Diceros bicornis minor: one gene and its partners. The protein of the gene in region 2 interacts with the protein of the main gene of each other region in a biochemical or structural test. Links are inferred from orthologs where the notes say so. Each region holds a gene or a part of one and is shown on either strand. Other genes may lie near its edges.

Region 1 (7,185 bases), on a different chromosome or scaffold from region 2:
ACAAACAGTTAAAGCTGAGAAGCCAACAAAAGAAATACAATGGAACAATATTTACTCCTTCACAAAGAAGGCAGAAAAAGAGGAAAAGAGAAACAAGGAAGACATAAGTATAAAACTAATAACAAGCTGATAAACTTAAACATAACCGTATCAATAATTAAATTAAATGTAAACGGCCTAAACACTCCAATTAAAAGGCAGAAATTGTCAGGTTGACTTAAAAAGTAAAACTCAACTCTATGCTGCCTACAAGAAACATTCTTTAAATATAAATATTAAAAAATAGGTTAAGGGGGCCGGTCCCGTGGCGTAGCAGTTAAATGCATGCGCTCCGCTGCTGGCAGCCAGGGTTCGGATCCCGGGCGTGCACCGATGCACTGCGTGTCAGGCCATGCTGTGGCGGCGTCCCATATAAAGTGGAGGAAGATGGGCACAGATGTTAGCCCAGGGTCAGTCTTCCTCAGCAAAAAGAGGAGGATTGGCATGGATGTTAGCTCAGGGCTGATCGTCCTCACCAAAAAAAAAAAAAAAAAAAAGGTTAAAAATAAAAGGGTGGAAAACGATATACCAGGCTAACACGAGTCACTCAAAAGAAAGCAGGAGTATTTTCTGATCAGACAAAGTAGATTTCAGAGCAAGGAATATTAGCAGGGATAGAGAAGGTTATATCATAATGATAAAGAAATCAATTAATCAAGAGGACATAATAATCCTAAACATTTGTGCCTCTAATAACAGAGCATCAAATTACATGGAGCAAAAAGGAGAAATAGACAAATCCACAATTATTGTTTCAGATTTCAATACCTCTCTCTCAACAACTGATATAACAAAGAGACAAACTCAACAGCAAGGATATAGACTTGAACAATGCTATAACCAACACAACCTCTAACTGACATGTAAAGAACACTACACTACCAATAGCAGAATACACTTTCTTTTGAAGTGTACACACAACATTCTGAGCCATAAAACAAGTCTCAATAAATTTAAAAGGATTCAAGTCATACAAAGTATGTTCTCATCCACAATGGAACTAAATTAAAAATCAATAAAAGAAAGATATTTAGAAAGACTCCCAGATATCTGGAAACTAAATAACATGCTTCTAAATAATCCACCGGCCGAAGAAGAACTCAAAAAGAAATTAGAAATTATACTGAATTAAATGAATTGAAATGAAAATAAAGACACACAGGGGCCTGCCCAGTGGCGCAAGTGGTTAAGTGCGTGGGCTCCGCAGCGGCGGCCTGGGGTGTGCTGGTTCGGATCCCGGGCGCACACTGACGCACTGCTTGGCAAGCCATGCTGTGGCGGTGTCCCACATAAAAAGTGGAGGAAGATGGGCACGGATGTTGGCCCAGGGCCAGTCTTCCTCAGCAAAAAAAAAAGGAGGATTGGCAGATGTTAGCACAGGGCTGATATCCTCACAAAAAAAAAAAAAAAAAAGAAAAGAAAAACACACATATCAGAACTTGTGAGATAGTGCTAAAGCAGTACTCAGGGAAATTTACAGCACACGACACCTTGATTAGAAAAGAAGAAAGGTCTCAAATCAACAACCTCAGTTTCCACCTTAAGAAACTAGGAAGAGAAGAACAAATTAAACCCAAAGTAAGCAGAAGAAAGGAAATAATGCAAGTCAGAACAGAGATCAATGAAATAGAAAGAAAAAAAAAATAGAGAAAAGTAATGAAACCAAAGCTGGTTCTTTGAGAAGATCAATGTTTACTGAGTGCTCCTATGGGGAGACAGGAGAAAACACAACACACAAACCCAGGGACAACCCCCCCTCGGCTTTTACAACTGTTGTTCCTTCTCCCTGGACTGCTCTTCTCCCCAGACAATCTACTTGTCTCATTTTCCCGCTTTATTTTTGTCCAAAGAACTTACTGCTTTCTAACATACCACTTTTCTCTCTTTTTCTTCTTTCATTTCTTTCTGTCTTAGTTTCTTCCCGTCTTTCGCTTCTTTTCTCTTTCTTTCTTTGTGCCTTCCTCCATGTCTTGTCTGTCTGTCTTTCCTTCTGTCTCCCTTTCATTCTCTCTTTCTCTCTCTCTCCCTTTCTTTCTCTTTCTTTTCTTCTCTCTCTCTCTTTCTCTCTCTCTTTCTTTTTCCTCCCTTCCTTCTTGTCTGTCTGTCAGTCTGTCTGGCTGTCCACATACCTCCACTAGAATGTATGCTCCACAGGGCATATGTTTTTGTCTGTTTTCTTCTCTTGCCTTATTACCAGCACCTCAAACAGGGCCTAGAACATGGCAGCGTTTGATAAATATTTGTTTAACAGATGAATCCCTGCTGTCACAGAGCCTATATTTTCTCTTTGAATGTAAGATTTGAAAACTAGTGCTCAGAAGGTGGGATCTTAGAGTCAAAGGCCAAGTATTAATTGGGAAATCAAAGAAAAAGGCTCATAAATCAAGAGCTAAGGATCAACGATCATATTTGGAGATTAGAGGTCAGGAAGGGCCTGCCTTAGCTACAGTTCTAACAAAGGTCTCCGGACTGGGGTCAGGAAGGTTAAATTGACTTTTGAGATCAATGGATAGGGATGTGGAAATCTGAGAACCTGAGTTCAAGAAAGAACGGTCAGAAATTATTGGATTAGGATCAAAGCTGGAGAGGAAATTGGTCTTATTAAAGGTTAGGACTTGGGGGTTAGAGATCAGGAAGTCAAGCATCAGAAGTCAGATTTAGGATGAGAGGTTGGGAAGCCGGGATCAGAAACTAACAGGGAATCAGATGTCGGATCCTAGGGCCCGGTTAGGCAACCTAAGGTTCACTCACGTGTCCCCATCCTCAGTGACGTATCCGAAGACGAGGGGCGCCCACGACAGCCCTGGGCCCAGCTCCGCGCCCAGCCCCGGTCCTCCGGGGGCCGCCGCATCCGGACCCAGAGAGCCCAGGCCGCTGTCGCACCATTCGTCGGCGTCCGAGGCTTTCCCCAAGCACGCGACCCCGGCCATGGCCCCCGAAGCCTCAGGGGCCCCCAGCGGCCGCCCGCCCGTCGCTGGGCTTTGCCTGGATGTCTGGCGCTTCCGCCCTGCGGGGAATTCCCCAACCCGCCCCCTGACTCACCCAATCAGCGTGGGCTAAATAGCACATGCCCCACCCCCGTACCACACTGTGACCAATCAGAGTATTCAGATGGACTGCGGCTCTCTACCCATTCCCACATTTTCCGGGCGCCCTTTACCAACATGGCTGCTGGCGCGGGGCACTCTGGAACTCGTAGTCTGGCCCTCGGGAGTCTTCATTACCTGAGAGGCTGCGAAAGCTTGTTTGCGGCCGCGATGGCTGCTGGGAGTTGTAGTTCTCTGCCCTATGTCTGTCCCTCCTGTTTCCGGTGCCGTCACGGGACAGAGCAGTCGGTGACAGCTCCTAGGGCTCCCGCCCCGCGTCCATGGCCGAGCCGGACCGTGAGTCGGGGGCCCCGGTGGGAGGGTCGGGCCGCGCCGGGGCCTGGCTGAGGGCTGCAGGCCCCGGGGCCCGAGGGTGGGCTTGATGGGGCAGCAGATAGGGGCTGCGTAGGGGGGCGAGTGGGACTCGGCGGGCCGTTGCTAAGTGATCCGTATTGCTAGGTCGGTGGGTTTCTGGGTCGCGAGGTTTTAAGGGTCCGTTTGCCACGTCCCCCAAGTTACCCATGATTGCGTGTTTCTCGCACCTTGGTCGCTAAGGACCTTCGTTTCTAAGGACTTAGGTTGCCGCGGTCCCGGTTGCTAAGGGTATCTGGTTGATGGAGGGAGCTGTAGGAAGCTAGGGGACCCCTATATCCCCTCCTGTCTCTTCCCTCTAGTTCCTGTGCCTCTCCTAAACCTACCATTCCCACCACGCCTCCTCTCCAAACCTGCCTCCAGTCAGAGTATCTCTCATCTTCTCTTACTTTCTAAACTTCCCTCTGCCTGTAAACCTGACCCTCTCCGCGCACACACTCGCATACTATTATGTCCTCCCTACCTCCTCCTGTCTTCCTCCATGCCCTATATGCTTTACTTTCTCCTCCTTCTCCTAAACTTTCCCGTCCCAGCCTCTGTCCCTCACTAACCGCCTCTCCCCCCAGCCCTCTCCACTCAAATAAGATCTGCTTTTCCCCATCCCCTCCCTCCCTCTACTCCGTTTTTACTACCACTGCCCCCACCCCAGTATAACTAGGTTGGTGAGTCTTCTTGCCCCCTGCTCCCCTACTTTGAAGCCCTTCATTCCCCCTAACCATTCCCCCCACTGTAACCACATCTACTCCCCCTCCTCCCCCAGCCTCTGACCCTCTGGAGACCCAGGCAGGGAAGGTGCAGGAAGCTCAGGTGAGATGGGGAAAGGGTGGAGGGAAGGAGAGAGATGTGCTTGTTCCCACACCCCACTCCCCTGGGGGAGGTGACAGAGGGGAGACAGTTATCCCAGGGCCCTCAGCTCGCTGCCCCAATCCCTCACCCCACCTCCCCGGTCAGCCTCCTGGGGAATGGTGGATTCTGGGGACTGTCAGAGAAGGTCGTGCAGCCTCAACCCCAGGCCCTCTCCCCAGATCCCTCCCCCACCTCCCCACCTCCGCCAACCTTTCTGAACCTCATTTGTGTCATTGCTGGAAGAGACACGTATCCCATCTGGTCCCTGAACTCATGGATCTCATGGACAAATGACTAGAAAATGACCCTACAGGGCGATTATGAAAGTAGCTCAGGGCACTGTGGGAGCCCAGAGGCAACTTTGTGGGGTCACAGAGATTCCAGCCAGTCCCTTCCCTGGAGGAATCCACAGGCTGGTCTAGGAGTCAGACTGAGGTACAGACACATCATAGTAAGTGAAGAGTGCCTTAGTGTTTCCTTAGGCAAGATGAGAAGTGATGTTCCACGCAGAGGGTCCAGCCTGTGCAAAGGCTGGAGGGGCGTGAAAGAGGGTGATGTGTTCAGTAGTCGGTGGCTGGGGTGGTCAGCTACTTATATTCATGGGTACTTACTCCAACCAGGTGCTCTGCTTAGTGTTCTATATGCATCATCGCATTTCATCTTCCCAGCATCCCTGTGCGTGGCAAGATCTATCGTGGCCATTTTATAGATGAGGAATTTGAGGCAGAGTTGTCAAGCCTCTTGTCCTCTGTTTGCAACCCACAGCACTTGACACACACAGTGCCTTCCAGATGCTTTGGGGAGAGGTAGATAGGCCGCCTCACAGAGGCTCGAAGGCCCCGCCAGCACCTCCAGCTCCCCCTAAGCCAAGTTGCCCCCACGTGCTGGGCAGGGCCCTCGAGTCCTTCCACAGAGCCTCACTGTCTGCAGCCTGAAAGAGTGCCAGCCCACCCACAGACGCGAGGCTGCTGTTCAGATGGGGGACAGAGCAGAGCTGTGACTAGAGCACCCCACAGCTGCCTGCAAGAGAGTATAAGAGCCTCCATCAGGCCGGGGCTTCTCCCTCTGGCTCCCCAAGCCGGACTACTGTCAGAGAAAAAGGTTGCATGTTAAAAAGGAATCCTCAGTCCCAAAGAGAGAGATTCAGGATGTAAATTGCAGCATTGTCTGTGACAGGGCGAAACTAGAAACAGCCGGAATGGCTGTCAGTAGACGGGTGAAATGAACTATGGTGCATCCTTACAATGCAACTCTGTAGCTGCTTAAAAGAAGGAGGTGGGTCTATAGTGTATTGTTCCAAGGAAAATGCAGGGTGCAGCATCGTACTATGGTATGACCCATTTCTGGAAAAATAGTGAGGTTTCTATGCAGAGAAAAAATCTGGAGTAATGATTGTACTGCTAATAGCAGTTGTTATCTCGCCGGGGTGGGTGAGAGAATTACCAGGCAAGTGCCCAAGTTATACATTGTCTAATGGTCAGAGTTTTTGCAAAGTTTATATAATCTTAAAAAGCAATAAAACAATTTAAATATGTTTAGAAAGGAGGTTCCTATACTAAAAGGCTTGGAACCTGAGAGGGAGTAATGGGGGAGAGGGTTGTAGGAGGGGTTTAAGCAGGAGAGTGAGTTGGTCAGAATTGTGTTTTTATGAGGTCTGTTGCAGGGCCCAGCCCTGGCCCAGCACACAGCAGGTATTTGTTCAGTGATGGATAGTTCTGGAGCTCCTGCCAGGTGCCAGACCCTGTTCTTGTGCTGGACGTCCAGGGGTGAACACGCAACATCCCTGCCTTCGTGGAGCCGATATCGTGGTAGACTCTGGCTGTTCATGATCAGATGATTAGACCGGAGAAGCCAAAGGGAAGGGTCTTTGCAGTGGAGGCGAGCGGGCTGACCCGGACAGGCCATCACGAGGAGGGTAGCAGAGTAGACCGGAGAGACCGAAGCTGAGAGCCTAGGGCCCCTGGTGGGAGAGGACGGGCTAGACCAGCTGGAGCCCTGGGAGGGGACACATTATGGCGGGAGGGGAGGGGAGGGAGGCGGGAAGTGTCTGGCCGACTGGGAAGCCACGCTAAGATGGGACCCAGGAGGAGGAGCAGGTGTGGCAGAGATGCTGAGGCTCGTTTGGGACTCGGTGGGAGTGAGGGGCCTGGGGTCCCTTAGGGGGAGGCATCCAGGAGGCTGCGGGAACCCTGGATCTGGGGACAGAGAGGTGACATCGTCAGTGACTGGGCTGAGGCCACTGGCAGGGATGAGGCAGCCCTGGGAAGGTGGAGAGAGACAGCAGGGAGGGCCGGGGACAGGGCCCTGAGACCTGCAATCAGGGAGCCTGGCCGAGGGGAGGAGTGGAGAAGGGCAGTGGAGGGATTGGAGAGGTGGTGTCAGGGCTTCAAGCAGGAGGGCGAGGACCGGGGCCTTCCCACTGGGTTATTCCCAGGAATGCCTTTGAGGAGGGCTGTGGGGTGCTGGGACGGGGCGAGACCCACACCACAGGGGCCAAGAGGGGCGCAGGGCGTGGCTGTGGACACCAGGCACGTGATCGTGACCATAGCCACCGCTTCCTGAGCACTCGCCCCGCAGGGTGCTGTTCTAAGCACCTCACGTAGGTTAACTTACCTCATGTCACAGTAGCCCTCCGAGGTGGGCGCCCTCGGAGCTCCATGTCGAAGATAAGGGGAGCCGGGACTCAGAAAAGCGAAGTCGCTCGCTCGAGATTATGCTCCTCCGAGGGGCAGGGCCAGGTCTCCACTGCAGGCAGCCTGTCCCAGTGCCCACACTCTGGCCCCCAGCATGCCCCTCCACCGCCCCTCGCGTCTTCGGGCCCACCTCCCAGGCAGAGCCTTTC
Region 2 (7,557 bases):
TCAGTTTGGATTTCACCTACTCTGTGAAGGCCTTCCTTACTCTACCTTTTCAAAAAGAATGTTCCATGGAAAGTTTATACATGTCTGGCCAAAAAAAAAAGAGTTCTATGTTTAAAAAAATGATAATATTCTGGAGATGGACAGTGGTGATGGTCGCACAACAATGTGAATGTACCCAACACCACAGAACTGTACCCTTAAAAATGGTTAAAACGGTAAATGTTAAGTTACGTGTATTTTACCACAATTTTAAAAATTGGAAAATACTAAGTTAATTTCTTTACTACAGGACTTCTCAGGGCTTTTAATATGCTACATGGGTTATGAATCTCCAAATGAAGAAATATTATATGCAGCATTTACCCAATGTATTTGACCATAGTATCCTTTTATCAAAGCATTTCATGGGATTTGTTTTTCCAAACACACTTTGAGAAGTGCTACCCTGTTCCCTAGGAAGACTTCTTTGGTTATTTTGCCATTCTTCCATGTCACTTTACAAATAACTTGGTTATACAGGTTATCACACTGTACTTAAAGTGCTTCTGTGTCTCCCTCACCCACTACACTTGAAATCGCCTTAAGGCCAGAAAATACTGTTTTTGTTGATTTGGGCACTATCAGCACCCAGCACAGTAATCAGCTAAATAAACCAGCTCACGTCCTTTTCTCTTCCTCATTGTGCTTTAAGAAGCGTAAATGAAACACTGGGACGTGGCTTCCATCAAAACACAAAGAGCTTGAAAGCTGTAAATGCAAACCCTAAGTCAGGCTTGGAAAAGGAATGATGCTGTTCCCAAGCCTTATAACAGAGTATTTCTTCTCTTCTCACTACAGGCTCAGTTGTCAAATGTCCCAGTTTGGAGGAAGGGCCACTCGACAACTGGAAAGTTCCTGAGAGATTTCTAAGATTCTAGAGGAACCCAAATCTCTTCCATTTAAAAAATGATGAATTCCACAGAGACAGAAAGTAGAACAGTGGTTGCCAGAGGCTGGGGGAGGAGGAAATGAAAAGTTATTGTTTAATGGGTACAGACCGTCAGTTTGGGAAGATGAAAAAGTTCTGGAAATGGATGGTGGTGATGGTTGCAAAACAATGTGAATGTACTTAAATGCCACAGACTATACACTTAAAAATGGTTAAAATGGTAAATTTTATGATATATATACTTTACCACATTTAACAAAAAAGTGATGTATTCATCCATCTCCAGCCAGAGGCCAAGAAAAGCAGTCACAAAAGCATGCCAGCATGCATACTTTTTTTCTTATGACCAGGCTGATGGGCAGGCTTAGATAACAAGACCACAGGCAACATTCCGCTACAACTACTTGGCTCCCTCTCTTTTCTCTTTGAGTGCCTTACATCCTCTCTGATGGTGAGAATTATTAAATTTACTACTTGTCTGCCTGTCAAAGTACTTAATGCCTTAGTCCTTCACCTTCCATTCCCCCTCTCTCCAAAATTTCCTCCTATGCTCTATCTAGAAACCTGTTTCACAAAATTTCTTCAGTGATATTCGTCTTTGTAACTGCCAAACATACCTATTCCTCCCAGGTAGACTGCCATATCCCCTACCTCCCACCCTATATTATGGTCTCTCTACCCACACCCATATTCCTTAAGTCAGCAAATGATGTTTTTCCCTCTTGAATTCATTTCTCCATTCACAGGCCAATTGCAAACACTTTAGTAATATCTTAAACTGCTCATTTTGTCCCATATGTTTTTCCATTTGGATTTATCTTTTACAAAAAATCTTCCTAGAACACTACTTTTATCTTGTTTCCTTTTTTAAGCCCAATTAATGATGAAGAAGATGATAACAGCAACAATACAGCAGTAGCAGGAGCTAACATTTGAGGGCTTACCATGGGCAAGCTACTGTTCTTAGCTTTACATACATTATTATGTTATTTAATTCCCGAACAGACCCAAGATGTATATTAATCACATTAATATAACCATTTTACAGATGACAAAACAAAGACTATACTGCAGGGATTATTAGTCCAAGGTCTATACATCTAAAAGGTCTGTGAAAGTCCTTCAAGAGAGCATGAACCCCCTCAAATGACAATGCATAAGGTTGTGAGGATGTGCATCTGTGCATTTTTATGGGGAAAGGGTTCACAGCTTTTATTGGTATATCAAAAGACACAGAGCTCAAATATGATTATTAACTGCTGCTTTAACAATGGTTAAATGTTCTCAATTAAATCAAAGCAAAATTCCGGAGTCTGATGTTAGGTGTCTTCACTGATTAGAGCACCTCACCCCGATCTATCTTCTTTCCTTGTGAAATCATTATCATTGTCACCAGCTGATCCTCATGCTGTTCCCTACCTGGAACGCATCGCCAACTCCAAAGCCCACCCAGTGCTTCCAAAAGCTTAGCTGTGGACTCACCGTAAAACCTTCCTTGTCTACCCCAGCCCCTACTGATAATACGACCTCCAAGCACACACACACATTGCAACAGGCAGCCCCCCCTCTTCACCCATTCGTGCTCACACATACACACTCTGATGTGCATCTGCCTCACACTCCCTGACACTCTCCATATTCAGAGAGTGACATACGTAATGTCACACTCAGTAAACACTTCGTCACACCTTGACACTCATACCAAGAGCTCCCCCTAACAGCTCTATCTCAAACACACTGACCCAGACCTCAGATACAACCTCGGACTCAGTCACCAGGCTCACAAGCACAATCCGTCTGTCTGTCTCTCTCTCTCTCACACACACACACAGTGGCCCACAATACTGCCCAAGATCTCCCCGACAATCTCTCACATACTGACAATCACTGTGTTCCACAGACGCTCTGACAAACACCCACGGCCGCTCCCTCGCGCGCCCCGCCTCACCCGATGCTGGTATAGGCAGACGTTCCCGAAGCCACCGGTGCCCAGCCGCTCCCGCATCTCCCAGGGCCCGCCCGCGCCCGGCCGCAGCCCCGGGGGCCGCTCCATGGGGCGGGAGGGCAAGCGGCCTCAAGCTTCGCCACCGTTCCCAGGCCGGTTCCGGGCCGCCACAGCTCCCGCGTCTGTCTTCTCGCGAGATGTATGCGTCACTTCCGGTAACTGCTGGAGGAAAAGCCCGCCCCAAGTTCTCCAGGGGCGCCGCAGGAGCCCTGCAGGTGAGAGAATCGTGTGAGGAGAGTGGCGTTTTCTGCCCGCTCTCTAAGTCCCCTGTGCATTTTCCTGGCTGAGAGAACCAGCCCTGTTCCCTCATGTGTTTTTCTGGTCTTCAAGAATATAAGATCTCTCCAGACCCTACATTCCCTTCAAATCACTTTCCAAACCAGTCTCTCCAGTATTCGTCTTTTCTAGACTTTACATCGTCCCCACCCCTACCTACACTTCACCTTTCAGACTTCTGCCGTCTATCCTCCAACCTCATCACCCGCTGAGCTGGCACTGGCAAAGGCCACCAATGATTTAAATATTGAGGAATGCGAAGAACTAGAAAGAATCCTGCGCTAACAGGCCCACTGATGCATTAGCTTTCATAGTTCACTTTTTTTTCCCTTAATGATTAATCATCTTGCATAGACGAGTCAGGCTCAGCTCTTCTTTTGCTTGACTTCCTATACACCTGTTCCAGGATCTCACCTGTATGTAACCAAATGACTCAAGGATGTGACGCTGTTCCAGAGTAAAGAATGTTCCTCCTGACTTCGGGAGTTTCTCCCTAAATTCCTCACGGAGCTTGCGGTCAAATAGTCCTCCAGTTATGGGGTTTGCCGGTGCGGTAGTTATTCATTGTGGGGATTGTTTCTGATGCGTGATACAGGGCTACAGAGGCAAGCTTGGGAAATACTGTTGCTGCAACAAGAAGTGCTTCTGAGTGCCAGATTGCCCTAGCCTAGAGAAACCAGCTCCCGCTTTTCTGCTTTTCGCTTTGAGTGTCAGACGCTACATGGAACTTGGGGATTTCATCAATCGCTCCAGGTGTAACAATCAGCTAGAATCAAAATCTCTGATGAAATGTGTCAGCTGCCATAAGCACAGTCATTTGAGCCTCCTTTGAGATCATGTGCACTTGGACTATCATTTGCACAGCCTGGCCTGTTAACTCAGTACTTAGAATTCCAACCAACGTTTTGTGACACATGGTTGTGCCATGACAGATGTAACATGCTCAGATGTCTGAAGGTGGATATGGCACGTACACCACAGCACGCCATCAAAGCTAACTGCTTTGAAAGCACTGAATCAGCCTTTGGCAAAGCAAATGTGTCTGCTGTCACCAGAATCCCTGAACAGTTCAACCAGAATGTAGAGCACTGCATCATACAAACCAAGTCATGTTGTAGGTTGTCAGTAATGTGTGCTCAGTATCAGAGATTCTGATTTCACATAGGTGCTTGGTAGCCATGGAGTTGGAGTATCAGACTTTGAGGTGATGGCAAATAGTCTAAGAACATGTCCCTTAAAGCTGGGCATACTGCACAGATTGTGGTGCAGATTGTCCTAATAGTATGAAGCCCTCTTGTTTGTTAGATGTACAGCATAGCTAGCAATGGAGCATGTCTGATCTCCACAGGTGGGGCTGAAATCTAATTCTCACTTGGAAGAGCTAGGGAAGGATGCTGAGGACTTGAGGATACTGATGATTGGGCTGATGCTGAAGTAGCTGTCCTTGCAGGAAGTGGGTTGTTTCCCCTAGTTCACTCTTTAGACATCCCCATACTCAAGGTCACTGTGTAGCTTTTTTTTTTAAAAATCCAGGGCCAGTTGACCTCAGGCTCAACGATCTTCAAGTTTGCCATTCTTGGTTTTTTCATGTGTAAAATGGAGGTAATACCTACCTCATAAACGTTTTGTGAGGATTAAGTGAAAAAGTGTCTGTGTCATAAGTGCCCATTATATAGCAGCAAATCTCTTTCTTTTGGCTTCTAAGATACGGCATTCTCCTGTGAGCTTTCTCTCCAGTCCTTCATGTACTTGATGGATCATTCTATTTCCAAGCACTGCTTAAATACTGATATTTCTCAGGTAGTCATCTTCAGCTTAGGACTGTATTCACCCTTGTTTTCATCCATTCTCATAATCTCACCTATGGCCTATACCCTGATGATCCCTAAAGCCCTATCACCAACCCAGATCTCCATGTGTTTAGAACTATCTAACAGCACACGAAAACTCAACATATCCAGAGCAGAACTCATCTTTTCTTAAATCTGCCCCTTCTCTTCTCAATTAAACTGCAAACTCTGGGACAACAGGGACCATGTTGGAACATGGCTATACTCCTAGAGCCTAGAAAAATGCCTGGCATATAGGAGAGTTAAGTATTTGCTGAAGGACTGAATGAGCTCTTTTATATAAATAAGATGAATGCTATAAGAGAAAAACGGCAAAGGCCTTGGGGTGCTCCAGCTGCACCTTGCTCAAGGAGAAGCCACCTGTGAGATCCTGGGATAACAGCTGGGCCTAAGGCCCCGCCCCTCCTTTTACACACACATACTATTTCATTTCAATGGTTACAGGTAACATGAACACAAGATACTTTCCCCACCCAGGGAAAAGCATTTGGATTTTATTTGATAGTTTAAATGTTTTTGAAAATGTTGATAAACACAAGCTGTACTTGGAGCTGGATGACAGACATAGGATTATCATCCTAGAATGTGATTTTTTCCAAAAAAATATTCAATCTGAGGCTTCTTGCTGCAGGCAGCTTCCATGGGAATGCACAAAAAAGAGGCAGGGAAACAGTCCCCATGGGAGACTGCAGTTTCTTAAAAAAACAGACTGCTACTGTTTCCTGTCAAGTTCATAAAGTGTTTTGCCCTTTGCTTAGTCATCCAGAGTGAAGTCAAAGGGCTCAAAGTCTTTCCGGAAGCAGCGAGCCAGGGTCTCCTCCTCTTCCTTGCTGATCTGACACTGCCTCCAGTCAGACTTGTCAGGAATATTAAGGATGGCTTCACTGGCCAAGACCTCCCTGCAGAAAGAACACAAAGAAGTCAAAATGGACAGTATCAGCCCAAAATCCCCTCCCACCCATTCCTCTCCTGCCATCACCCCAAGAAGGTATGCAAATTCCTCTGACTTTGCTCATACCATTCTCTTGCCCTGAGTGCCATCTCTGCCAAAATCATACCCATTTGACCAGCTCAGGTCCTATCTCTTTCCTAACCCCTCAAACCCAATTTTCTCGCTCTCTCTTGAACAACTCAGAACTTATTGGTACTCAGGGAAGTAACACGGCATAGTAGAGGCCAGAGGGCAGACCCTGGTGTCAGAAAGATCAGAGACCGAATTCCATCCCTAGCTCTGCCACGTGCTGTCTATGACTTGAACAGATTACTCCACCTCCAAATCTTGATTTCCTTACCTATGAAATGCAAAATAAGGTTTTGTGAGGTATACAGATAACACAATCAAAGCACCAAACTAGCTGTGATTACATCCTGCCTTAAAATGGAGCTTTGTCACCAACTAGACCATGGGTTTGCTGAGGTCATGGTACACAGTCAGGCGCCACTCTGACTTAAAATTCTTCTACCTCTCCTTCTAGGAGACTCAGGCCTACATAGGCATAACAACACAAGCTCAGTGTCAACAAAACAACTTATCTTGGCTCTCAGAACTAAAGAATAACTACATACAGACACAGAGACAGACACATACATGCAAGCTACCTTCTAATTGCCACTGCTTTATATTTTTATTTATTTGTACTTATTTTGATATATTAAAAATAACTCTATCTGCACATCTACATGGTTCATTTTCCACTTTGAAGCTACAATAAATGGAAAAGTTGAAAACAAAACACACGAGTCTTCTAAAAGTCACAGCACCTGAGCTCAAGTTCTAGCTCACTGGGCAAAACTTGAGCCTACTTCTTCATCCATAAAATGAAGATAGAACCCCCTTTCTTGTACAGTGGGGAAAAAATGTCTTTTCAAGTATTTCAAAAAATACTTTTTAAGTATTTTGTTAACTATAAAATACTGTATAACTATAAATTAGTATTTTAAAAAATACTCAATGTTGAGCACAAAATCATTCAGAGAATCTCTCTTTTGTGGGCTTATGTGCCAGTGTGTATCTGCGATCATGTGCCTACGTCATCACTGTCCACATCTGCACCTATTGCTGAGGCAACAACAAAAAGATAATGTCAGATTTTTGAAGCTCCTAATACACTTGTTCTCATTTATCAATTATCTTTTTGAAAATGTAGACAACTGGACTTATCCAATGGTGGCAATCTCTTGGGAGGCTTTCCAAATTAGTTGAAGAAGGGTTCAAGGTTGCTTCAAAGCTCAGTTCTAACTGGGGAAAAAAACAGCTGCAAATCACAGACACAGCATCATATAATCTGTTCTGCCCATTTTTAACTCTCCTCCACACTATTATCTCTTTTTGCTAGTAACTTCCTGTCTTCAGTCTTTGCCTAATTTATACCACTCTCTGTATGGTTTCGTAGTCATGTTCTGCCTGATATGAAGAGCAGAAATGAAGCCTTATCCAGACCTTTAGGATACTGCAGAATAACGAGGTTAAGACTTCACGTTTTGGGATCCAACAGGCC
Region 3 (7,679 bases), on a different chromosome or scaffold from region 2:
CAACAAGAAGGGAAGAGGATCTTTTAAACTAGAATACAAAGACGGGCACACAGGCCACTGAGGAAAAACATCTTTTCTCTGCATTGTCACTCAGGTAGTAAGACAAGCCCAGAACTAAAGACCCCATATCTGACATACTTCAATGTCTTGCTCAGCTCAACTGAAATGTTCTACTACACAGTTTGCCCTATATTTGGCCTTCCATTTCTAATCTACTGCTTTCAACATTTCAGTCAGCATCACCAAGTAAATGCAAAGCCTTCACACGTGCATCACTTTAAATGCTCACCCACCCCTTGAAGAGACTCAACCCCCACTCCTTTCCCTTCCTGAGGATCTGGGTGTGCAGAGGCCAGAGGGGCTGGCTTATCCTTAGAGTTTCCCAAATCCACTGACAGGAATTGTCCCCCTTCCCGCCAATTTCACACTGGTGCCATCAAAAGTGCCCATAATGCTCAGATGTTTCCAGTTTAACTGAAATACAAAAATGGGGCAAACAGGAAGCATCAGACACAACTGCGGTAGTGACTTATTAATCATGAAAGCAGAATTTTAGTTGCATTTTAACCTTTTGCCAGGAAAAAAAAAAACAGCTTTGAGATGATAAAAGCCATTGGTACAAATATGCTGCCTATATGTGTATCGAGCTGACTTATACTTTTAATTCAGGACTGAATTTGGTTTTAAGATCTCTTAACTATCCTCCCAGAAAGAACATCTGTCAAGCCAACCACCATGAGTCTGTCAGCTCTTCATCAAGGCAGGGAGCCCATTAGGAAAGCTCATGTGCTATCCATTGAGACAGGAAAAAAATAGGAAATTAAAAGTGGCTTCACAGGCCAAAGTGACAGGACACTCTTAAGAGGATGCCAACAATGAAGAAAACAACCCTGGATGAAGCTTTACCTCTTTCGCATCTCTACAGATCTCTCACCAGACCTCGGCCACGATGAACTGTTATCACCCACCAAAAAAATCACAACAGTTGCCTGGAGTTAGACAACCAACCAATCAGGGCGAGCCTGCTTCTGAACATTAAATGATATACAAACACTCCAAGCAGATCACAAAGGAGTCAGTGTTCAACAGGAGAACCAAAATGAGGAACCAAACCTCCATCTGTTGAGGCGGAACGGCCAACCAGACATTTTTGTTTAATAGATGAAGGCTCGTTTGGCAGGGTCTCTGTCTGGGGTGCCTCTCCCACAAACTCTAACAGGCAACACCAGGGGCAAAAAACCCCCTTCAGAACTGCTTCCTATAATCTGAAAACGGTCAGAAAATGACCTACAGTTTGGCAGCTTATGGCTGTCCGATTTCACAAAAGTGCTGGAATGTATACCTGGGCAAGTATTTCTAAAATTAAAGTCAGAGACTATTACTTTTATTTTGAGACCTTCTGAGAAGTTCACCACACCCTTCAAAATAAATGAGGATGTCCTAAAGGTGTCTGAAAAACTTAGAGGTCTGGCATGGCTGCACCAAAAGAACTCACTTTGACATCACTTCGAAAACACCAAGAGTAAGTCCAAACACATCGTAAGCAAGACAAGCACCTGTCCTCTTATGTTAAGAGCATAAATATCACACCAAACACTTCTCCCTCCTTCCTGCATCTAAGTCCCATAATGTGGTCCTGGTCCAGGGGAAGGAGCCTGGACAAGACTCCAGTGGCCCAGGCTGGAGTCCTCATCCTGAGTCCTAGCTATGAGGCATTAGGCAAGATATATACCTCCCTCTCCCCTCCTGCCCCAGGTGCCTCACCTATAAAATAGGACAATATTATCTATCCCATCACACAGACATCTGAAGGAAAAAGGTTACAGGTATGAAGATACTAAGTAAAAAACACATCACTAATGTGAAGACACTATCTCCTTCTAATCTTTCAGAAAGACCATGTTTCTAGTCAAGGGGTTTTCAACATTTTTCCTGGAATAAACTTCAGACTGCTATTTTGTATTAGGCCCCACCTCTCATCTTTTAACTTTACTTGCTTTTAGAGTCCTAATCAAGTCACTGGTGTTCATCGTCTCCAGTTAACAAAAATAATTTTGCCAATTACACCACTAACTTCTGGATCTTTTCTCCACTCATCCTCTCCTCCTCACTCTCATTCCCCAGTCCACCCTTTAGGACTGAGAGCAACACTTTAACTTCAATCAAGAAGGAAACGCTTTTTCTGAAGTCACTCAACATCAAGGAGGCAGGTGGGACTCTCTGCACTGTACAAGTGGCCTCTTTCTCCCTGGTGCTGGGTGGCTGCAGGCTGCCAGGGTCACGATGGGCTTCCAAGGTGGGAATATTATATCTGAGCCGACAGATCAAGTCCTGAGTGGAGCGGACCGAAGAATTCCAGAGGGGTCACGGGAAGGAAGAGGATGCTGCGAGTGGCCAGCACTACCCCGTTGGGTGCCAAGGGCAGGCTCTCCTCCTTCTCCCCGCCTCGGGGTGTGACCCGAGAACTTCCCAGGCAAGGCCAGAGGGTTTCACTGCCAGGGCAGGTGGGAGAGCGCACAGACCGGGCGCACTTGAGCACTAGACACCTTCCGTCCCGTGCCGAGACGAGGCCCCCTCCTGGGGGCACCCGGGGACCGGAGCAGGAGAGGCAGGCCTGCTGGTGAGGCAGGGAGCGCCGGGGAATGGGGATGTCGGGGAAGGGGAAGCAGGGCACCCCTGCGCGCGCTCCGGGCTAGCGTGTGGCCTGCGGGGGTGCGGCGAGCACGGCGTGCGACCGTGGCCCTGGCAGCGTGCGTGAGGGCGCGCCGGCTGCCGGCCGCCAGGGCCGAGGGCTCGAGCGCGAGTGGGTCCGACCGGCCGCGCCGCCGAACCCCCCATTCTGGGGCGGCGGGCCAGGCCGCAGCCCGGCCCCGGGCTGAGGGGCGACCCATCCCCGCTCCGGGCCCGGGGTCCCGCCCCGTCACCTACCGGCCGAGCGCCGATCTCCCCAACCAGCGAGCGCTGCGCTCCCCTCACCCGCGATCTCCCGCCGCCGGTCGCCGACCGCTGCTCTCTGGGCCGACGGTCGCCCCGCCCCACGGTCGCCCCGCCCCGGACTCGGGTCCCGCCCCCTCACTGCCTTCCCGGCCTCCCCCGGGGCCACGCCTCCCCCGGCGGCTGCAAATTTGCCTCGCTTCGCGCCTCCTTGCTGTGGCCGCACCTCGACCTTTGGCCCCGCCCACTCTTCCAACATAACCAATGAGAGCGCGTCCTGGCTAGACCCGGCGCACCGCCCCTAGCAACGATTGGTTAACGAGGTCTCGTTTTCAGAAATGGGCACTACTTCCGGACGATGTTTATAGGGAAGAGATTGCTGGGCGGACGGATTGACAGATGGCGGAGGCGACCCGAGTGTAGGTGTAACCACACATGCGCGCTCGGCTGTGGCAGTCTTTTTACGGGTTGCGTTCTTCTGGAGGTTACGGGAGGGAAGGGCGAGTGTGCGCATGCGTGGGCACTCCCCAGGTTCGAACTTCGGTTACCTTGGAGACGGCGAGGCGCTGTCTCTAGGGTCTGGTTCTGCTTCCTCTTTGCCTGAGGCTGTGGCGGCGTAAGCAGGCGGGGGGACGGTTAGAATCACCTTTATTGAGCACTTACTATGTCCCTAGCACTGTAAAGTCCCTGAGGACGAGTAAGACAGGTTCTGGTGCCTGCTCGAGAAGCTTGGGGAGCCAAAGGCCTACACAGGTCACACCTGTGTGTGGAAACCGAGGTCTGATGAGAAGGCGCGCGGATGGCATGGTGCACCCCCTTCCCACAGCCGGAGAAGCAACGTGGTGCGAGTACTACACAGCCGGAAAGACGAGAGCTTTACCTATGCAAAAAAAGGACCTGGAGTCTGAATACGCACTAAGGTGTCAACAGTGCTTCTTTCTGATGGGAGGCGGGGGGCTGGGCGGTTAGGGGAGGTATGGACATTTTTTCTTTTCTAACTTTCGTTTATCTGCCCTTGCCATCGTTTCTACAGTGAGCGTGTATTTGATTTGTAATAAAAAATTCCAAACTTTAAAGGTTGGCAAAATAAAAGATGTGCACGTACCTGGGCACCACACCTTCATCAGTGGTCCACGGCAGGCAGGTGTAGTAACTGGTTTCAGTGGTGGGGTAGGCAGGTCGCATCCCAGGCTGTCTTGAGTAGTAAGGATCATCTCATCTCTGGCAGTGTTTGAACAAAGGCCAGGCCACCTGCTCAGGATCACTCTTCAGACAGTTTTTGGTAACTATTTTTGGAGATCTGCACCCAACAGACATCTCCGTTGTTGGGGGATAGGTAAGACCATTTATTTAGGCAGAGGTGGGAAACTCACAACCTAAGGGCCTCACCCACTCACACAGGTCATAGGTATGTTTTGTTTGGCTGGCCCAATGTTTTTTTTAAAACTGAGTTTGAATGCCTTAGCGCAGAGCCTGCAGTTCCCCACAGCCCCTACCCCTGTTTTACACTCAACCTCTTAACCTTATGTCGTCCGTCTGGCCCCTGAAGCATTTGAGGTTGTGGCCCCCATGGTGCGCATGCTTGAAGCTGGATGGTCTCTGATGCATAAACTGGCTCTGCCGCTGGCTGGCTTGGGAGATGGTGGGCAAGAAAGAAGCTAGTGAACCCTAAAGCTCCTTCCAACGCCAGGGTTTTTCATTTCAGTGACTCAGGGAGAGGCGGAACTTGGCCAGATGGTGGGTTACAGGTCGGTATCAGCAAGCCTGTAGCCTCTCCCACCACCTGTTTGCCTCTGGGCACACCACTTCTCAGGAAAGTCGTGGGCATGGGCCCAGAGTCTGCAGACACTCCCTGGCTCGCCTTTGCCTTCTCCCTCTCTCACCATTCCTTCTTTAGGACAGCCAATGCCCACACACTTTACCCAGCTTCCCTTGAGACTTCTCTGGTCCTGGTTCACCTCCATGCCGCCCCCCCCCCATCAAGATTATCTGTCTTTAAATCCATCCGTGAACACAGATGTGTATTAGTGGGAGAGAGTGGGCTGTGTTGACCCAAAACTGTGACTCGTGAGAAGGAATTTCACATCAGGCTGCAGAGGAGAAACAAACCACCGTACACTAGTGAGGACGGTGTTTGGGACAAGCAGGGCCTCGAAGTTTCAGCTGCTTTTCTCAGGTCTTTCCAAGCCCCACTGTGTGTAGGGTGAGGTGAGAAACAACACAACACCCACTGGAGTAAGCACTGTGGAGCCTTAAAATGCTTGCACCTTCTGGAAGGAGAGCTTCAGGGCAAAATTACTTCCTCTCAGCCGAGCCAGTTAAGTCACGACAACCTGGGAAAGCTTCTAGCCCTGAGTCATTTGTGCAGCCTCAGCTCTGTTTTAAATAAAATAAATTGACATTTACAGGGTGACTCACACCTGGAGCAGTGAGCCAGGCTCTCAGCACTCAAGGATTTCCATATCCCACCCCAAGGGTTCAAGTCTGGAAATAGGAGGGTTAGACTGTGCTCTTCCAAAAAGAATAGCAGCTTCTGTTTTTTGAGAGCTTACAAAAAGTAAATCAGACACTTCTAAGTGCTTTGTGTGCATAACCTCACTGAATATTCCCTCTAGCCCAGGGTTTTTCAACCTTGCACTATTGACATTTTGGGTTGGATAATTCATTTGTTGTGGAGGGCTGTCATATGCATTGTAGGATGGTTAACAGCATTCTGGCCTCTGCTCACTAGACGCCAGTAACTAGGCCCCTGCACTCAGTTGTGACAACAAAAAATGTCTCTAGACATTGCCAGATGTCTCCAAAATTGCCCCCAGTTGAGAACTCTTGCAGTCTAACCCCATAGAGTAAGTATCTCTTACTTATCATCCCATTTCACAGATGAGCAAACTGAGGCTCAGAGAGAAGTAACTTGCTCAAAGTCACTTTGCTGTAATAGAAGACCTGGGATTCAAACCAGGCGGACCCCAGGGCCCCTGCCCTCCTGCGTGCAGGACTCTGTAAAGAGACTTTGGGCCATAAGGAGCCAGTTGCCCATCAGTTCTGTAGAAGTGTGGTGAAGAGTGAGTGCATTTTGTGCATCAGTGAGAGAATGCTATCCTTGGATCATTTTTGCTTTTCTGTTTGCTTTGGAAGAAAGGAAATTATATTCTGGTTTTTATTGCCTTAGTCAGCCCAGTTCATGATGTCCAGCCACGTCTAGTGAGAAAGTGGCTTGTGAATCATCTGAGTGTCTGTGGATCGCAGGTCCAGATTTCTGTGAGATCCTGTAGTTATACTTGAGAAGAACTCAGATGAGATGCTGAGATCAGAGATGACTGGGGGCTGTGGGTGGGTGTTCCTGGAGGAGAGGCAGTTTTACTTTCCCTATCAGGGGTCTGCCTGAGGCTGCAGCTGTGGTGCTGTCGCTGCCCTCCCAGGCTTGGACCTGCCCCATTGCTTCCGCCCAGTCCAGAGTCTGTGGAGGGGCCATGGAGGCAGGGGAGGGAATGGTTGCAGGCAGTGATGTGCTGGAGCTCTCTTCCTACTGTGCCATTGGTGACCTCACGTTGGTAGCTTGAAACTGGATATGGTGGGAGTATTTACACCGTGGAAATTGGCAAACGGTATAAGGCAGGGCTACCCGCCCCCGAGCTTGTTGTTAAACGTTTACTAGATTCTGGACCCTGACTGCCCCCGACCAATTCTGTGCCCCACGTAGGGAGATGGAAAGGGCTACAAGGAACCACAGAGCTATTGGAGAAGAGGTGGTGCCATGGTGATGTGAGTGAGGAGGAGAGGTGCTGATCTCCACAAAGGACGGAGCTGCCTGGGTGGGGGTCTCCCTGGCAAAAACGACCTTACCAGAGCAGGTCCTGGACATACCTTCTGAGACCTCTCCCAACTTTGGAGCCTTCTTAGGGAGCCCTGGGTTAAGGCTTGATTCAAATTCTTCTCACTTCCTGATTGGTGATCACCTCCTAACTCGCGTCCCTGCCTCCAGTCTCCTCTCCATACTGTCCTCAACCCTGCTGGTGGATGTAATCCTCCCAAGAGACCACCCAGGTCATGTGTTCCACCTCCGATGTCCCTGCATCTCCTGCCCTTCGACTTCTCCCGTTTAGCTTCTTCCTCTCAACCTCCTAATGTGATCATCTCCCCAGCCTAAAAACAGACAAATTAAGAAAAAAAAACAAAAGCCCTTCCCCTATCCTGGCTTTCTCCTACACTGTTGACCCAACTTTCTTTCCCCTCTCAACTCCCGAACTTCTTGGTACTCCTGGTGTCTGCTTCATTCCCCACTTGCATGTACCCCTTGCAGTCTGGTTTCTGCCCACCACCCCTTCTCTCCATGGACACCCACTAATTGCCTCCTAGTCAAGTGACCTTATCTCAGGTCTCATCTGCGGCCAGGGACAAATATGATGCTCTGAGCGCCTACTGCATCAGGCCCTGCGGAGGGAGCGCAAAGCCTCCAGACTAGTCCCTACCCTTAGGGAGCTTCTAGTCTAGTGGGTGGCCAGACCTTGAATAAGTGACTACAAATGAGGACGTAAGTCATTCCAGGTGATGAGAGTGATGAGAGGATGGATAGAGTTACTGTATCAGGCAAGGCCCAACCAGGGAAGCAGAACTCATTCTGAGTTTTTTAAACCTGGAATTTAATGCAAGGAATTGGTTACATGGAGGGTGGAAGAGCCGGGAAGCCCAGCCAGAGAGGGCGAGGTGGCCGGGAATCCACTGCTACCCCTGGGTTGGAGGGACTT
Region 4 (7,261 bases), on a different chromosome or scaffold from region 2:
TTCAGTTTTGGATTTTAAGAACATGCAAATACACGTAAAATATTTAGATGGCTGGTTAAAAAAAGGGAATCATAAATATATACATATGTGTATATATAGACACATACATACATATATTTTTACTTTAGCTTAAAACATAAATAACAAGGTTTTGTTTTATATGGTGTGAGGTTTTTTTTTTTTTTTTTTTGTGAGGAAGATCAGCCCTGAGCTAACATCCATGCCAATCCTCCACTTTTTGCTGAGGAAGACAGGCTCTGAGGTAACATCTATTGCCAATCCTCCTCCTTTTTTTCTCCTTTTTCTCCCCAAAGCCCCAGTAGATAGTTGTATGTCATAGTTGCACATCCTTCTAGTTGCTGTATGTGGGACGCCCCACAACATGGCCAGAAAAGTGGTGCGTCAGTGTGTGCCCGGGATCCGAACCCCGGCCGCCAGTAGCGGAGCGCACGCACTGAACCGCTAAGCCACGGGGCCGGTCCCAGTGTGAGGTTTTTTAACCCGTATTTGGCTGTAGGGCCTCGGTCTTTTGAGTGTGGGTCCACTATTTAGAGTCCCATGTATCTTTCTCACATATCTCGTTGTCTACAATTTTCACTTTTAATTCTTTTAAAACAAAGTGAAAACTGATGAATGCTTGCAAAGTTCTAATAGATTTGAATGCTTTTTCCCCAATCTTTTACAATCGTCATATCCACAACTAATTTGACAGAGACTTTTTTTAGTGTCTTACCTTCATTCATTCTTTCAAAGCATTTAACTTAGTTTTCATTGGAACAACTTTCTTTTTGCACTCACATACATTTTATTAATCCAATAATCAATTTAATAGTATTTAATTAAACATCATAGGGACAGTTATAATAGGTGTAATCAGGTTTGGGAATAGGTATGATGGTTTCTCTTGGGGCCCATAACTCAGCAGGTGGGAGCAGAAGTGTGCCGGTGCCATGAGCATTCATTGTGCTCTGGCATCCTCTGCATGTTGTATGCCACACCGGGAATGATAGGCATCTGTTACTGGGTGAGTCAGCTAAATGGAGGCTGGTTAAGAAACTTGCTACTATAGTGTCACCTACAGTGTCCTTGTAGGGGGCCAATTATCTCACAAATGATAAGATTTCCTGACTTAGAACTTCTGAAAACATCTGGGACGTGTGGTGTCTGGAAAGAGCATGGAGAAACCAAGTTCTAGCTCCAACTCTACTGCAAGTATTTCATAATAAGTATTTACAAGCCTGATAGAACACCAGTTTTGGCTCTATTCTCAAGGTTACATTCTTACTCTTTATGTCTACCTAAGACAGATCTCACATACAGAGGCATGAAAACACACACACACACACACACACACACACACACGAGTGATGGATCTGAAATTCTACCAGAGTCAGCCCAATAAGTACCCACTAATAAAAATATCTGTAGATGGGAATGTTTTATTTATTTAATTTTGTAAATACAAAAACAACAAATAATACTCCCAGAGAAGAAGAAAATTCCTTTCATGTGCATAGCAGGTGCTTAATAAATACATGATGAATGAGGTACAGGCTGTAGAATCTGTTCATTCTAATATCAGTGATATTTATGCACAATGAGGAAATGCACCAATATCAAACTGGATCCTCCAAATGAATGTGGTGTAGGAACTGAAGTGTGACTTTGGCACTTCCCAGAAGCACTATGTGGAAGCAGTGATCTGTAAAGCACAGGCATAAAGGTTACTAAAGTTGTCATGGCATAAAGGAAATCACTCACAGCAACGTTTCTATCTGAGAGGGGATGGAAATAAAGAACTTGGAAATAGTAACTGGAGTGTTCAGTGTACAAGCAACCTTTGAGGAGATACAAGTCTCCTGTATGTCATTAAAGAAATCAAATTAAGGCAATTCGACATATGCTTTGTGCAGTAATTTAAAGCAGGACCCAAGAGCACCAAAACCAGAGCTAGGGTCTTAACCATGCTTAAGACACAGAAACCACAACAGCAATCATCTCATGGGATGATTCTCCTCAAAGAAGTCTTTGTATTAACGTATGACACAGGAAGAACACCCCTCTCAGTCAAGGAAATCCTCTATTTTTCTCTCTTGAAAAAAAGTCAGTTTGTCAGTGTATAGATGTATAGTGACAACTGGAATATTTACGTAAAAGATTAAGGGAAAAATGACTCAAAGCACCAAAAACTAGGTGAAAGACCAGCACTTAGGTTTCTCCACGGCAGTGTGCCGTGGATGGAGGAGGGCAGAGAGCTATGGCTAGTTGATAATGTTGCATTTGGTACTCCTCTCACTTGGTCCCATTTTCATCACTGTGTACAAATACAGAGGCAAAAGTAAGTTTTGCAGGAATCCCTTTCTACTTTGCTACTCTGGCCAAACTTCAAAATTGGAACAAACTTTTGAATGTCTTTTGAAAGGGATCCACTTACTTCTCTCATTCACAGGCACCTGAGCATGTGTATGCACATGTAAAGGTTTTTCGATCTAAATAGGAAACAGGAAAGTTTATCCTTTTCAATTTAGGATTTGGTGGGTGGGGCCATCCGGGAAGACCTGGGAAATAACTACTGTTTGGTTTGGATGGTACACTTGGCTACCATTAAAAGCGCGTATAATTAGAGCCTAAATGTAGACTTAAAATTTTAACAGATTTATCTAAACTTTCAAAATTTGTACCTTTGGATGTAACTATCTTATGGTAGATGTTGCAGCAGTATTTAAAACATTGAGCTAACATGAAATCAGGACAGTTTAAAAAAATCCCTGGGATATCAACATCCTCCTCAGTTAACATTTACACCCAGGAAGGGGGCTTTCATTTTATCTACCTCCAAGAAGTCAAAGGAATTGTTTTGTAGACAGTGCAGACTTATGTCTAAATATATGAAGTCTGACAAGATACCTCTCTGCTTCCTGTTCTTGAGGAACCCTCCCCCTCTCCCTCCGCCCCGCACGACTTAAAGTTTCACAAAGTCAGTCCAGGGACTCTACACCCGGGTTGCGGGAGATTTCCCATCACAGACAATCTGGCTCGAGGAAAAGAAGGGAGGGGAGAAATAAACTTGACGCAGAAGCTCTACTCGCCTGAAGAAAGGTCGCAAAGCATTAACGCGTAAATGGTGCTTTTCCCTTCCAAAGCACCTTATCGCCGAGACGCCCCCGGGGACTGGAAGGGTTGGGAACGCCACGTTAGGCAACGCGGCCACTGCAGGGGTGGGGGCGGAGGCAGCCCCGACCCTGCCGGAAAGAGGGACGTGCCGCACGCCGCATCGAATTCGAGGAGGGCCAGAACCTGGCCGAGGATGACAGCGAGCACTTCCTGGCACAGCGTTGGTTCCTTCCCTAAACGTGCTCTATCTGGCCCTGTATACCGCTGCCTTTCCCAAAGACAGCGGAGCTAAAAATAAAGATCCACAGGGACCCCCGCCCTTCCCTGTCTCTCTAGCCGGGGGCGGGGTAGGGGGTAAGAGAAGCGTCCCAAATCGGTGACTTTAGATTGCGAACAAGACATTCCAGGAAACTTTCAAGTTTTATTTGTAGCACGAGCCGGAGGGAGGGGAGAAAAGACCAGGAAAGCTTTTTAAAAAAACTTTTTTGGTGCGCGGCAGCACGTCTGCTGAACGTTAGGTTTCTTTCGCTTTGCAGCCGACGACAGCCCCGGGCGCCACCTGCGTGTCCCGCGCGGAGTGGGGGGGGCGGGTTGGTCCGCGCCCGGGTTCCCCGACGCCCACTGCAAAGGGCAGTGCGAATGACAGACTGCAGGCTCTCTCGCCTGCGTCCCCTTCAACGCACCACACACCTAAGTTCGAACTGCAACTCCCGTCGGGCGAGCTCCGGCCGAGCCGGGCCGAGATTGCGGCGGAGAGGAAGCGGCGCGCTGCCGCCCCGAGGCCCCTCCTCTCGCCGGTGCAGCCCGGGACTACCTGGCGGCGCGGCGGGTGCAGCGCGCAAAGTCCAGGGCGCACCCCCGGCGGCCCTGTCCGAGCCCACCTCTCCGGGCCGCGCGCGGGGCCCAGCGCACAGCTCACTCCCCCCACCTGCCAGCCGCCGTCCCCCGCGGCCGAACTCGGTGCGCCACCCGCCCGTCCAGGCCGAGCGCCCGGCGGGCCGCGCTCACGCAGTTGGCGCAGGCGACCCTACGCTGGCGGCGCAGCGCCCGCCCGTCCGCCCGCCCCCTGCACTCTCCCCGCCCCCTCCCTCCCTCGCAGGGGCCGAGCGAATGTAGCCCGCGAGAGAAAATGGCGGCGGCGGCGGGGAATCGCGCCTCGTCGTCGGGATTCCCGGGCGCCGGGGCGGCGAGCCCCGAGGCGGGCGGCGGCGGAGGGGCCCTCAAGGCGGGCAGCGCGCCCGCGGCGGCCGCGGGGCTGCTCCGGGAGACGGGCAGCGGGGGCCGCGAGCGGGCGGACTGGCGGCGGCGGCAGCTGCGCAAAGTGCGGAGTGTGGAGCTGGACCAGCTGCCCGAGCCGCCGCTCTTCCTCGCCGCCTCGCCGCAGTCCTCCTCCACTTCCCCGTCGCCGGAGCCCGCGGACGCGGCGGCGGGCGGCAGCGGTTTCCAGTCTGTGGCGGTGCCGCCGCCCCACGGAGCCGCGAGCCGCGGCGGCACCCACCCTTCGGAGCCGGCGGCCGCCCTGGACAGCGGCGCCCCGAGCCCCGCGGGGGCCGAGCCCGGGGAGAAGCGGACGCCCGCCGCCGAGCCGCCTCCTGCAGCGGCCCCCGCCGGGTGAGCAGCGCGGCCGGGGGCGCGGCGGGGACTTGGGGGGCGGGCGAGCGAGGGCAATGAATGAACCCCGGGCACGGCGCACGGTGTGCCGGGGCTCCGCGCGGAGAAGCTGCGCGCCGCTCTCCGGGACCCGAGTCCCCGGGCACCCCCTTTGACTTCTCCGGGGTCGGGCGGCGCCCTGGACCTGGCCTGAGGGACAGGACGGGGGCCCGGGGCGGCGACGTGCCAGAGAGTTTGTTATTGTTTGCAGACATGCGACAGGCGTGCGAGGCGCGCTGCGGGGACCCGTTAAGATAAGATGTGGGGGCCTGGGCTGGCTTTGTGGGGCTCCCGGAATCGGGGCTCTCCGAGGAGCCCCGGTGCAGGACCCTGGCGCTGCCCTTGGGGCCGGGCTGGGGGTCGGGCAGCAGCCCGGCGGCGGCCTCTCCTGGCCGAGGGACGACGGGGATGAGGCCCGAGCCTGCAGGCGGGTGGTAGTCAAAAAAGGGGCGGGGTGGGTGGGGACCCCCAGCCAGAGGCCCGGTGGGGGGGCCGGAGGGCGGAGGAGAAAGCGGCGAGGTCCCCGCGGCCGTGACAGGCAGAGCCCCTCGGCAGGTACTGGGGGCCGGGCGCGGACGGAGGCGGTGCGCCCGCAGGGGGCTCCGGGTGGACGGCTCGGTAACGCCTGTCAAAGCGGTGCGGGCGGACGGCTGCAGACTCGCGGGGGCTTGCAGTCTTTTAGGAGCTGGTGTTTTCTAATTGCGTGCCCCACTGGGGCTCCGGGTGTTCTTGGGAATGAGGACTGCATCGCTGAGACTCGAGTGACTTCTGTTTGGAGTTTGAATTTGGCCTTTGAAGTTTGCATTTGGCGGAGTGGTGTAAGAGCCAGGACCGGATGTGTCAGCCATTCAGTTTCAAAGCGGCGGGGACTGCGCCCCGCAGCCTCTCCGGCGTGGTCGGGGACCGCGGCGCGGGTGCGGTGTTTCCCACTCGGTGCAGCTGCGCGGGCCGCCGCCGACTGCCGGATTCCGGGGGCCACAGCGCGGTGGGCTTCGCCTCAGGTAGTCCTGTGGGGTCTGTGCATTACGGTGTGTGTTAGGTAACTCAGACCAGCGGTTCTTGGCCTGACCCTTTTTTGGCAACTGGAAATGTTCATGTTAAAGGAAATTCTTCTAAGTGTGACAGCCGTAATCCTTGTTTAAAAAAAAAAATCTGACTGCTGTATGCAAAGCACAGTCTCCATGGGTATTTTGAGTTGCTGGAAGTGTTTTTGTGATCGTCACCCATTGCCCTGTAGAATTTTCTGAGTTTTATTCTGAGTATTTTAAAGATCGTGTCTTATGTTTGTTTCCCATGTGAGACGAAGTTGACAGTAGGGATCCTCGGTTTTGGTTAGTTATCTAAAGTGATTTGGCAATTTTTTTGAACTTGATTATTTATTTGTTAAAACTACAGTTCGTTTATTACTTGCAAGTTGCCCCCTCCACTACCCCCCCAACCGTAAAATATATGGTCAGCACCGTGCCATGGCAATATTGAGAGGAAAGGAGATTTGTGGCTGTGATAGTTCTGTGTGCTCTTGTGCGTGTAACTTAGTCTTAAAAGAGTTATGTTCCTCTACACTTTCCTGCTTCTGTGCAGATTGGATTAAACCTTCACTAGAATAATTCTTTGGAGGCAGTTGTTACTACAAATGAGTTCCAGATAAAAATATTAAATCCCAAATTTGAGAAATTAATTGTATCTATCCTCATGAGACCAAGTTTTTGGATGCAGTAAATAATTTAGCAAGTGTCGTGAATCTAGTAGAAGAGCAACCACTGTAAAAATAACGTACAGAAGCTGGTTAGTGTTATCGCCACACAAAATAAGAGGACTAAAGTGGAGGCACATAGAATTCAGGGACTAATTCATGCTTAATTCAGGAGTAATCCATGCTAAATTTTTGCATTTTAAAACCTAGGTCTTTTCCCCCTCTTTGTTTAAGGGGTGATAATAATCGCACAGTATATGAAATAATGGGCTATTCAGCATAATCATTTTTTTAAATGAATTTCATGAGCCGGAGTGCTGTTTGTTCACTCCAAATGTCATACCTAAAGATTTCATTGATAGTAAAATGTTGATTCTCTGTCCTTTTGAAATACAGTGAGTTTTTCCCCAATATCCTTGTCAGTGGGGTTGAAGTATTTGGTGTAAACACTTTGATTATAAGCAGTTCAGTAAAATCTCAACTGAAATTTATGTTTTACTTTTTTGACAGTATATAGTTACATTCATACTTTCAGGAGGAAAATCTAACATTGAGATTTTGGAATATTTTTATGTTTCTGTGGTAGTTTGGGTCTGGAGATTCCTTCTTTCTAGAGACCTATGTTTTTTTTTTAAAGAGAATTCTATGATTTTTTATTTCAGAATTTCCTTCAGTTTTTGATATTTGTAGGTAGAAATTCAAAGTGTAGAAAATACATTTGTAAAGTGTAGATTATATAAATAATATTCATGTTAAAAATAGAAGATTTTAAGTTTGTCCGTCTTCTTCGGGGTAATAACTGAA

Evidence for each region. The genes of interacting proteins can lie anywhere in the genome.
Region 1: of the proteins of CHUK (region 2) and NFKBIB, one has a biochemical effect on the other in vitro, tested with the Homo sapiens proteins (2 studies listed by BioGRID). The link is inferred for Diceros bicornis minor from reciprocal best matches to the Homo sapiens genes CHUK and NFKBIB.
Region 3: of the proteins of CHUK (region 2) and MAP3K14, one has a biochemical effect on the other in vitro, tested with the Homo sapiens proteins (5 studies listed by BioGRID and IntAct, with this or other methods). The link is inferred for Diceros bicornis minor from reciprocal best matches to the Homo sapiens genes CHUK and MAP3K14.
Region 4: of the proteins of CHUK (region 2) and MAP3K1, one has a biochemical effect on the other in vitro, tested with the Homo sapiens proteins (3 studies listed by BioGRID). The link is inferred for Diceros bicornis minor from reciprocal best matches to the Homo sapiens genes CHUK and MAP3K1.

Annotation. Positions count from the first base shown.
Region 1 is NC_080773.1:13,004,756-13,011,940, reverse strand, and holds the start of NFKBIB (NF-kappa-B inhibitor beta), read right to left. Parts: upstream 3,019-7,185; 5' UTR 2,970-3,018; coding exon 2,791-2,969; intron 1-2,790. Other genes in the region: SIRT2 (NAD-dependent protein deacetylase sirtuin-2), read left to right, coding at 3,407-3,422, 4,258-4,304. UniProt on the Homo sapiens protein: Inhibits NF-kappa-B by complexing with and trapping it in the cytoplasm.
Region 2 is NC_080745.1:65,541,869-65,549,425, forward strand, and holds the start of CHUK (inhibitor of nuclear factor kappa-B kinase subunit alpha), read right to left. Parts: upstream 3,021-7,557; 5' UTR 2,982-3,020; coding exon 2,877-2,981; intron 1-2,876. Other genes in the region: CWF19L1 (CWF19-like protein 1), read right to left, coding at 5,814-5,958.
Region 3 is NC_080757.1:43,655,533-43,663,211, forward strand, and holds the start of MAP3K14 (mitogen-activated protein kinase kinase kinase 14), read right to left. Parts: upstream 3,019-7,679; 5' UTR 2,929-3,018; intron 1-2,928.
Region 4 is NC_080759.1:19,158,968-19,166,228, reverse strand, and holds the start of MAP3K1 (mitogen-activated protein kinase kinase kinase 1), read left to right. Parts: upstream 1-4,243; coding exon 4,244-4,725; intron 4,726-7,261. UniProt on the Homo sapiens protein: Component of a protein kinase signal transduction cascade. Activates the ERK and JNK kinase pathways by phosphorylation of MAP2K1 and MAP2K4. May phosphorylate the MAPK8/JNK1 kinase.